3 linked regions of the Canis lupus familiaris genome follow. The protein of the gene in region 1 purifies or fractionates together with the protein of each later gene. This does not show direct contact. Links are inferred from orthologs where the notes say so. Each region holds a gene or a part of one and is shown in the gene's direction. Other genes may lie near its edges.

The links.
Region 2: the proteins of NSF (region 1) and SCFD1 purify together in Homo sapiens (affinity purification with mass spectrometry; 3 studies listed by BioGRID and IntAct, with this or other methods). This does not show direct contact. The link is inferred for Canis lupus familiaris from reciprocal best matches to the Homo sapiens genes NSF and SCFD1.
Region 3: the proteins of NSF (region 1) and NAPG purify together in Homo sapiens (affinity purification with mass spectrometry; 3 studies listed by BioGRID and IntAct, with this or other methods). This does not show direct contact. The link is inferred for Canis lupus familiaris from reciprocal best matches to the Homo sapiens genes NSF and NAPG.

Annotation. Positions count from the first base shown.
Region 1 is NC_049230.1:16,840,065-16,843,719, reverse strand, and holds part of NSF (vesicle-fusing ATPase), read left to right. Parts: intron 1-1,098; coding exon 1,099-1,255; intron 1,256-3,224; coding exon 3,225-3,358; intron 3,359-3,655.
Region 2 is NC_049229.1:10,106,513-10,110,915, forward strand, and holds the start of SCFD1 (sec1 family domain-containing protein 1), read left to right. Parts: upstream 1-1,489; 5' UTR 1,490-1,555; coding exon 1,556-1,613; intron 1,614-4,403. UniProt on the Homo sapiens protein: Plays a role in SNARE-pin assembly and Golgi-to-ER retrograde transport via its interaction with COG4. Involved in vesicular transport between the endoplasmic reticulum and the Golgi.
Region 3 is NC_049228.1:76,506,816-76,509,501, forward strand, and holds part of NAPG (gamma-soluble NSF attachment protein), read left to right. Parts: intron 1-375; coding exon 376-455; intron 456-1,012; coding exon 1,013-1,142; intron 1,143-2,099; coding exon of another isoform or gene 2,100-2,173; coding exon 2,174-2,314; 3' UTR 2,315-2,686. UniProt on the Homo sapiens protein: Required for vesicular transport between the endoplasmic reticulum and the Golgi apparatus.

The DNA of each region.
Region 1 (3,655 bases):
GAAGCAGGTTCCCTTTGAGGAGCCTGATGCAGGACTTAATCCCAGGACCGCAGATCACAATCTGAACCAAAGGCAGACGCTCAACCACTGAGCCATCCAGGCGTCCCTGGGCCACAAGTTCTAATGTTAAAATCATTCCATAAGTTGGGAGATGAAAAATTGACTTTTTGAGGGATGTGATAGTTTTTTAAAATTTGAAATTCTCAAGATATGTGATCCCTAGATTATGAAATGAGTAGGGTTATGTGTTCCTACTCATTTCTTCACTTGTCAACCTTAAGAAAACACAATTCACTTAAGTCACTAAATACTAATGTTACTGACTCCTATTGGCAACTGGCTTGATGGGAGTTACAATGTGAAAGTAGAAGTTGAAAATGAAGAGGGATGTGATTTAAGCTCTAATATGTAGCGAGCACACATAAGATTATTATATATAGTATTGCTTTTATTTCCTTTTTCTCATACTTTAGTCTTTTACTATAGCTACTCCTTTCTACCTCATTCTAACTCTTATATTTACACAACTAGGCTTACCTTGGTGCCATTTAGCATATGTCCCCCACCACCAAGCTGATATGGACAAGATCCTCTCATTACCACTTCATTTCCCATTTTAATCTGAGACACCTACAGTCATTGTGAAGATAGTATTTCTGTCTGCTGAGCTAACTGATTCTAATTTCTAAGTCTATAACCTCTTTTTCTCTTTGTTCTTAATAGAAGGCCACAACTAGTGTACTCCTTACAGAAACAAGCGCATTGGAACTACCCTTTCTCAGGGATTACAAGGGTTTAGGCTCTTGTAGAATCTGACCCAAGAATCTGTTTTATTCTCCTAAATCATGCAAAGTCACCCTAAGTCACCACTCCCCACACCCCATACCCCACTCACTACTGGGTAAAGGTTAAATAAGAATTATAAAGTAATGGGTATTTTGTTTTTGCTTTTATTTGCTTTTCAAACTTTTTACATTAATAAGGATATTGCTCAACACTTTTAGTGTGTAGGAATTATTACTCATCTTTTATACTTTTAAGTGTTTTAGTTTTTATACTAACAACCAAAATGGTTTAAATTATCCTTTTCCTCCATAGGCATTTGGCACAAACCAAGAGGATTATGCAAGTTACATTATGAATGGTATTATCAAATGGGGTGATCCAGTTACTCGAGTTCTGGAAGATGGGGAGCTGCTGGTTCAACAGACTAAAAATAGTGACCGTACACCACTGGTTAGCGTCCTTTTGGAAGGTGAGAAAAAAATGAAGAGATGGCAGTAAGAGAAAAAAAAAAAAAAAAAGCACTTTTACAAAGTTTTTTATTTAGCATATTCCAGAAAAATGGATTATTTTCCATTCTAAATCTCTTCATTATCTAAAAATAGTAATCCAGACTATGTACTTGTATTGTGCATAAATTAAAGTTTTCTTGGAGTAGAATGTTGTTGATAAATGATAGCACTAGTTTTCTTGTGGGAGAGTATCTAAATTTCTGTTACTTCTGCTACCACAGAGTACCTGAGTCAATTACATATTCACCGAGTACTATCTTATGTAATAGACTATATGATACCTCATAGTACTCGATTCAATTAAATAAGTATTCATTGAGTAATTTTAGGCATTGAACCAGTTGCTAAGGATATAAAGACATTCACAGAGTTCAGTCTGGTCATGAAAACAAAGGCATGTAAACAAATTCTTAAGTACAGTATTTATGTGTAAAGATGTGTGAGAATGCAAGTTATTTTGCCTAGGGATGATCAAAGAAAGCTAAAGGTGGTGTTTAATTTAGATTTTGAAGGATTAGTTAGGATTTTACCAAGTAGACAAAAAGGCCAATGACATTCTATTCACTAGTTACTTGTTTACAATTATAATTAGTACAACAGAAACGTTTGTTAAGTCCACATGACAGCAGAATCTCATTCCTTCCAAAGTCTGGGAGTGAGGGCTCCCTGAAACACATTAAGCCAAGACCTGAAGGATGAGGAGAAGCTGGCCCAGCAAAGTAATTGGGGAAGATGTTTGAGGTGGAGGGACCAGTGTGTGAAAAAGGCCTGGGTGGGAAGGGGATTGAAACAGAAAGGGACATTGGCTAGACAAATGCCAATATTTAAGAACCAAGTAGAGCAGGAAGAGTTGACAAAGGACACTAAGCAAGAGTAACCAGAGAGGTAAGAGGGGGAGAAAGAGAAGACGCTATCACAGAAGTCAAGAAAAGTATGTTGCTTTTTTTAAAGGAGTTGTTCATTGTATCAAATATTTCTGAGAAGCCAACAGATAAAGTATCTGTTGGATTTGGTGACATGGAGGTCATTGATGACCCAGATGAAAGCCTGTTCCATGTAATGGCAGTGGAAGCCATAGGGTTTGTTTGAGGATGGAGGGAAAATGAAAACTGAAGGTGGCCAGCGTAGATAATTATTTAGAGAAGTTCCATTTTAAAGGTAAAAGAAGGAGTGGTGTTGAGAAGTGTGAGTCCAGAGTTTTTTGCTCTGTTTATTAAATTGTTAGGTAGGCTAAAGCATGCTGATATGCTGTTGGAAGGGTGATAGGGAAGAGGAAGAGATGGAACATATGGGGAAGAAGATACAGTCAGTGTCAGGTTCCTGAGAAGATGGGAAGGAAAAATTGGTTGGTTTATGGTTGGAAGAGGGACACATCTTCCAGTTCACAGAAGGGAAGAGGAGGAGATGTTTAAATACAGTTGATTTTACAGATTCAATTGCCTTTATGAGAAGGCCTAAATCTTTAAAATTTTAGCTTTGTAGGACACATTTGCTTCTATTAGACAGTTTTTTCCCTGCTCCCAATGTCATCTTCTAAGAAGATCATATTTTTTGTTAGACATATGATTTGATGGAACTAATAACATGAGTTACAGATATGCATTTGTATGCATTCTTTCCTTTTTTTTTTTTTTAGGGAAAAAAAACAACAACCTTGCATTTTATATATTTAGCCAGAAGTTTGAAAGATTAAGACTGTGAGAAAGAAAGAAGGAATGTATTTCATCATACCTTTGAGAAATGCTAATCAGTTCATTAAGTTTAGTTGCTAATAAATAAGAGAAAACATGTCTGCTATGAAATTGTGTCAGGAAATGTTAATGAGCAACTAGTTGAGACCTCAGTACATTGTGGATAAAGGTTTAAACTTGTTTTATTCCCCTTTGCTTAGGTTGGCTTTTTTTCCCTGACTTGCGTATCTTTACACAGGCCCTCCTCATAGTGGGAAGACTGCTTTAGCAGCAAAGATTGCAGAGGAATCCAACTTCCCCTTCATCAAGATCTGTTCTCCTGATAAGATGATTGGCTTTTCTGAGACAGCCAAGTGTCAGGCCATGAAGAAGGTATCAAGATTTTTACTTTCATTTTAATCTCCTATCTCTTAGATACGTGTACACGTACACATGTATGTGTATATCTATCTTTGTACGTGTATATATGTAAAAGCAACAGCAACTATATTCTCAAGTGGAACTAAATTATCAGTAGAATTTGAGTAAAACAATAACTATTTTAGGTAGATTTTGTAATGCATTTTTATTAGCATTGCTTAATCTTCCAAATTATGGGGTTCCTAAAAGATTTTATTTATTTGTGCATGAGAGCACAAGTGGGGTGGGGAGCAGAGGGAGAGGGAGAAG
Region 2 (4,403 bases), on another chromosome or scaffold:
TTTTATCATTTCATACATAGAAGCTGTATATAAATGGTAAACATTGGCTTAATGTTTTAGATTAATATAAGTTATAGTTTTGGGAAGAAATTTGTGATAGAACTGAAATGGTTAGCTAATTGATTTACATTTGAAAGTGAAAGTACCCAAATGAACAAGAATCTGCCCTCAGATGTTGGAAAATGGGAAAGTGTATATTTTACATTCCATGAAGACAGTAAAGTAGAACTTTCCCCTAGGGCAGGAGTTGTCATTTCTGTTTCATTGCAGTACACCTAGATCATTGGTGATTCCTTAAAAATACTCGATCAAAATAACACTGAAAAGAACAACAAATATTCCAATAGTAAATTTCTTGGTGAATATGCCAATTAGCTGTAAAAATGCAAGGATAGAATTCTTAAAGGTAAAAGTTCATAACTTTATCAACCTCCCTATTTTTCCCCACCCATCAGTCCCTAGAGGCCACTTTTTTTGTTTTCATGAATTAGACTTTTTTTTTTTTTTTAAGATCCTACATACATAGTTCATTTGATGCAGGAACAAACTCTTTCAGCTTTAAGATACAAGGTCTGAGACCTAATATATAACATGGTGACTACAGTTGATAACTGTATTGTATAATTGCAGTTTGCTAATAGATTTTAAATGTTTTCCACCAAAACGAAGATAAATATGTGAGGTAATGGATGTGCTAACTACATGGGGGAAACCTTTTCACAAAAGTGTTATATACATCTAGCAAATCATCACGTCGTAACTTTACGTTCCAAATTTTGTCAGTTCTACCTCCATAAAGTCGAAAAACTTTTTTAAATTAAAATAACTAAAATTAGTTATCAATAGCAGATACGTCTTGTCATCATACAGCTTCACCTGTACATTAGAATACCAGCTGTGTCTGCTATCCTCCCACACCCGTTAGGTGATTTTTGCAGTTACTTGAAGGAAAATAGGTATCAGTTTGCCGATTTGCACCTTTCTAGCTCCTGTGTTCATGTAGGTAAAACATTACCATAAAACTAGACCATTTTGCCTAACAGATGAGATTGAAATATCTGCCAGATTAGAGCAATGCTCCAAAACCGCCTGTTTCCCGGAAAGGGGGGGAGGGGCAAAGGGGAGACTTCTCTTGCTGCTCGGGGAAACAGAAATGAGCTCGCATTGAAACGCCTACTTTGTTCCTGGAGCTTCATTTACTTTAGTCCAGTGATCCTGAAACCCCTAGCTCAGTCTCAACATCTAAGACATCTGAAAACGACCAATTTGGTATTTATTACAAACCCCACGCTCCTCCCCAAGAGTTCGGCTTAAAGCAGCTACCATTTGGGAAGCTGTGGCTTCTTCATTAGGGTAACAACCCCGGTTCCCAGCTGGAAAGTAAACCCCACGAGGGGCTCGGGTGTGAATCCCCTGGGTCTCCCGAGTCCTGGGGAGAGCGGAAGCCGCCGCGATCCGGCCCCCGAGAGCCTCCCTCGGCCCCGCCCCGTGGCCTTTGCTTCCGGGGCAGTCGGGCAGCCACGTAATCGGGCTGTGCTCGCCAACCGGGCAGTGGATGGTGGGAGTCAAGATGGCGGCGCCTGCAGCGGCGAGTATTCGAGACAGACAAACCGGTACGATCTATTCCCTTCTCCCAGCGGTTTTCTGCCTGCAGTGGGGACATCCTTTGCCTGTCGCCCCGCCTGGGTCGCGGTGCGTGCAGCTTGGAGACGGCCTTCCAGAGGCTCATTCCAGGTCCTAGAGCATCGAGAGCCCCTCCCCTTTTGAGTTTTTAGGGAAGAGATGCCGGTAGCTTGAGAACCCGGCCCCTCTTACGTGGTTCAGAAGAAGGGGCTTCCAGGTGGGCAGTTTGCTACAGCCCTGCTCTTGCCCCTTTTCTACTGGGCCTTAGAAGGCCATCGCAAAAAGATCCGGCAGCTGGCATTTCTCCCCCTCTGTTGCTACCCATGAAGTCTCCGGGTTTGTTTCTCTGCGGGATTCAGTTCATTTAGTTTTAATGTTGGGAGTTTTCCGTTTTAACGCTTCCTCCACAATTACAAAATTTAGATATTCTTTCTGAGCAGCTTGCGTTCTGCCATTTCTCTTTGGGCCAATCTTTTGGGGGTACCTGAATAGAAATGCCTAGTGGTAAAGATTTCCTTCTTTAGTTCGCTGGAATGGAATTGAAGAATAGCCAAAAAACAGTGGATTAGTAGCTTTGTCATTTTAACCGTTTGACAGATTAGTATTTTAAAACTTTTAGTTTCATCCTCGATAGAGCAGTTATATAGCTTTCATTTGTACAGTGAAATGTTTTTTAAAAGTACAGATTTTTTCCCTTAAGCTTCGATATTTTTTCCGTCTTAGATATTTTGTTGTTCCTTATTTTTTGTAAACTTCTGATAAACATGGTTTATACCTGTTAGCTCCAAACCAACTAGCTAATTGGCCTGGAAGTTGGCAAGCTGTTCATTCTGAGGAGCTAATAGAATTTGTAAATGGTCCCTTGTATTATGTTCTTTTGCATGTTAATCTGAATTGGAAAATAAATGGTTACAATTGATATGGTTTACAGGAGGGGTTTTGGTTGTGCTTGATTCCTTCCTTTAGAATTCAGAGAAAAAATTAATAGACTTTAATCTAGTAACGACAGAGAGTGAATTTGGAATTGTGTTCTGCTTTTCCCATTAGATCATTTAGTATAAGCTATCAGATGAAGTTAGGCATAATTTAAGTAAGATTTGGGGAATACCTGCCACATATTTTATATGTAAGCAAATAGAAGCCCCACTTGTCTTTGCAGTATGGTTCTGACAGCTTAATGAAGCTCAATGAACTAGGTCATACTACATATTAAAACAACATAACAAGGACAGCTTAACCAATACAAAGGAGACTTTCCAAAAAAATGGAACTTGTAGTAATTTTTATATGAAGAAACTTTTTGGAATATTAAAATCTAGTATAATTTTGATTTCTGTGAAAATAAACCATTATAGTGAGATTTCACATTATAACTAGATAGTTGATGCCACATTAATCATTTATCAAATTGATACTCTAGTTGAGTTCTCTTATTTTCAGAGAAAGGTAAAACCCCATATGTGTTATAGTAGCAGAAGTAAACATTTCCCTGATGTTCCCCATATTCCCTGATGCATAAGAATATCCTGGGAAGTAGCTCAAAATCAATTCTCAAATATTCTAGATACAGGACACTGTGATACAGAGGAATTTGCAATCTATTTGGGTAGAGAATAGCTGATACTGAGCATTTAGTATAGCTAGGCATTGTTGTAAGTGATTTTACCAGTATTATTTTGTAGATGAGGAAACTGAGGTATAGAGAGGGTAACTAGCATGCCTGTTTTTTGCTTTGCCTGCTTGAAGAATATTTGTCTTTTAAAGGTCACCTTAAAAGTCATCTTGTTTGTGAAACTTTCCTGAAACACTCCCCTCTTTATTCTCACCTTTAGTTCAACTGGCAAAGTCCTGTTACCGTAGTCTTTCATGCATGCCTCCTCTTTGGTGGTTCTTGTTCACCATCCCCACTTCTCAACATTGGAAAGCCACACATCAACTGCTTTCTCTCTTGCAGTGATCTCATGTGGCCTCTTGGCTTTAGGTACTATAAATATAGTACCAAAATATCGTAACAAAATATAGTAACAAAATATCGGGGACTCCAGGGGAGCTCCAGTGCTGGACACTCACAGGCATTCAAGCAGAATTACTTTGAAGGCTACGCTAGTGTTTGATTTTTAATAGTTTTTTTCAATCACTGACTTACTGATCTAGTTTTCCGTATATTTGGGTAATTATCAAGTAATCTGAAACATTTGGCTGGAATATACAACACTTTTGGCCTAAAAATTATCATCAGTTGCCACAGTAATTCTTACACTGTAACCAAAGACAGTTTTTAAAAGGAAACACCTTTCCACAGACCTATTCCTGGGTTATTTTTCGTACTACTTTTTCTGTCTTACCTGGAAATAATTTACAAAAATAACTTCCTGAAATTTGCACTATATGTACATATGCTATATTATGCTAGTATACTAGGACAGAGTTGCCAATTAGCGGATATGGGTGGATAGAGTTCCTCTGAACTCTTAGATTTGATCTAAGCAATTAGATCAACTCTTAGTTGCTTAGATCACCATGTCAACTCCATCCTTGTAGATAGTTGCTCAGGTCAAAGCTTTTAAGGTTTCTTCACTTCTCTTTTTCATATCCCATATCAGACCTGTGGGTAAATCTTATCAGCTCTACTCTGAAAATATATCCACAATATGACTATTGTTACTGTTATCACACAGGTCCACAATACTATGAATTTTTGCAGTGACCTCTTATTTAGTCTCCTTGCTTTTATATTCTTGTTCTTCATTTTTCTTCACACAGTACCAAAGTGTCAATAC
Region 3 (2,686 bases), on another chromosome or scaffold:
TTCCAAAGTGTTGTGGCATCATGGGTCCCACTTCAAGATTTCCCTTTTCAAGATTAAACCTGTATAGATATTTAAGAGACATTTTCTTTACAGTGTATGGTGGTCGTGTTCTAAGTTGTGTTATTCAGTGTGATCCTCAGACCACCTGGGCTTGCCTTGGACCCCCTAACTCAGCCTTCACGTAACAGAACCCTGAGTAGTTTGAGATGTACCATGGCAGGGCATTTTCCCTCACGTGTCCCGTGGAAGTTACTAAGAATTTATAAATCTCTGTAGGCAAACCAGGACTGTAAAGTTCAATTCTAGACGTCAAGAAATTGACTTTACTAACAAGTTCGGTGTAACTTTGGACCATAATCACCTCTTTTGTTTTAGAAAACAATTGCTCAAGTCTTAGTTCACCTCCACAGAAACGACTACGTGGCTGCAGAGAGGTGTGTCAGGGAGAGCTACAGGTAAGACGCTGGCAGCCCTGTCTTGCAGTGTAGAATTTCTATTTCCCGATGGGAGATCACTGTTTAGACAGCTGTTCTTGGCCAGGAAGCTATTTTTGGTGTTGTAAAAAATTTCATAGTGAAAAAAAATTTTGTAGTGGTAGGTAGACTTACCTGCCAATTCAGCAGTATTTTTTTTTTTTTTTTTTTTTTACAAGTTGTGATCTTTCATGTTTTCCTCCTGGGGATTTCATGGGAGTGAATGACCGGAATGATTTTGTTCCATTTGTCTTCTGAGACAACAACAAAAAGAGTAAAGAAATGTTCTCAGATTGCATGTTACGGGAAGATCATTTCCTGTTGGAGGTAGTTACAGTGAGTGGTCTCAATCTGCGCATGTGTTTGCAAGCCACCCATTTCCCTTGCTCTTCTTGGGCCTGTGCGCTGTGGGATGTCTAGAGTATTCCAGGCCTCTTTCCACCTGTTAACAAAAATGTCTCCAGATATTGCCAAACATCTGGGAGGGGGGCAGAACCCCCTGAGGGCAGGTGGAGGGGTGTGACTCGTGCTTGCTGTAGCATTCCAGGGTTCAGTGGGAGTGAAGACTGTGCTGCCCTGGAACAGCTTCTTGAAGGCTATGACCAACAAGACCAAGACCAAGTATCTGATGTGTGCAACTCGCCACTTTTCAAGTACATGGACAATGATGTAAGTGGCCTTTATTTCTTTTTTCTTGAAAGGTAGAGGTAGAGATTATTTCTCTCCTATGGGCTTGTGAGATTTCCCCCTCTATTTTATACCTCCAGCCACTGCTTACGGAGGAATGTGGCATTGGCACTGAATTTCACTGTATTCTTAGACTGTTTAGATGTCAACCATGTGGGTTTACAGCCTTTTATCTAGCCATCTGATGATGTTGAGTATGTACACTTTTTAATTCGGCTCCATTTCTTGGCCTTTTCTACCACCTTTTGACCTCTGTAAGTTGCTTAGTTTAAGTTTCTTTTAGGCTTCACTTTCTGAAAGAGGCTCATCAGGTAGTGGCCTTTGTAATTTGATACACTTCTCGGAAGCCTACTTCTTTGACAGCTGGTTATGTGATGCTGGTTACTAATGAACTCTGTGAGCCTCCATTAACTCATCCGTAAGAAGGGAGCAGCTGGTCCTTGTCTTGCCAGCCTGTCTTGCAGAATAGATTGGTCTGCATGTGAGAAATGGCCTCACACAGTGCTGTATACAGAACGTGAGCTGTGACTGTGGCTTTCCCTTTTTAGTAGATTTCTGAGCCCAGTTCATTTGATTTGGTATCAGATCAGCTTGAGACCTTTCTTTTTGGTAATGATGTGGATAGAGGACTCCATTTTTTTCCCTAGGTCAAGTCTTATATAGGCTTTTATAAGTTTATTAAGACTTTGTCCCTAGCTTAACTCTTCATTTACTCAACAGATCTTTATTTTGTAGGTACTGCAAGTATTAACTGAGTGTGTCCCAATTATCTCAAATTCCTAAGTGTGGCATATAACTGATGACCAGTTGTATACCTGTCATGTCACGGTCATGAGCCATCTGATGGCAGTGCACTGTTGAATTTTTTGTGGTGGTTTTTACATTTTACTGGTAGTATTGGTTTTCCTGAGGTAGAAAATTAAGATCTCTCTCTTATAGATAGCTACAGTTGACACATGGCATATTGAGATTCCTGTTGTCCAGCTTCTGAGAACATGCTTTGTCATTGACAGTATGCTAAGCTGGGCCTGAGTTTGGTGGTTCCCGGAGGGGGAATCAAGAAGAAACCTGCGGCGCCACAGGCTAAATCTGAAGGTGCCACCGCCCCCACTGCTGAGGAAGACGAAGATGAGTATGCAGGAGGCCTGTGCTAGGATCTTGCTGTGCTGCAGAAAGGAAGAACAAAATCCTGACATGCCATTCATGGACTTGGACCTTGTCTGAGGGGATCCAGATTTCATTGCAGTCATGGCTTTGAAAATGCTACTAGATTCATGTTTAGTCATCATTTCCCTAAGTCACCCATCATACCCACTACCTGAAAACACTTTTTTTTCTTTCCATAGCAGCCTTTCTAAGACACCATAGGAATTAATAGAAAAAAATGTACTATCACATTTTAACACAGTTGATTTTTAATTTGCAAGCTACAAACTGTGTTCTAAACAAAAGGGACAATAGGCATAGAAATTCTTTTCTGTTGGGCTTTTGTGATTTATTGTTAGAGAATTTCCCTTTCGTTTTAT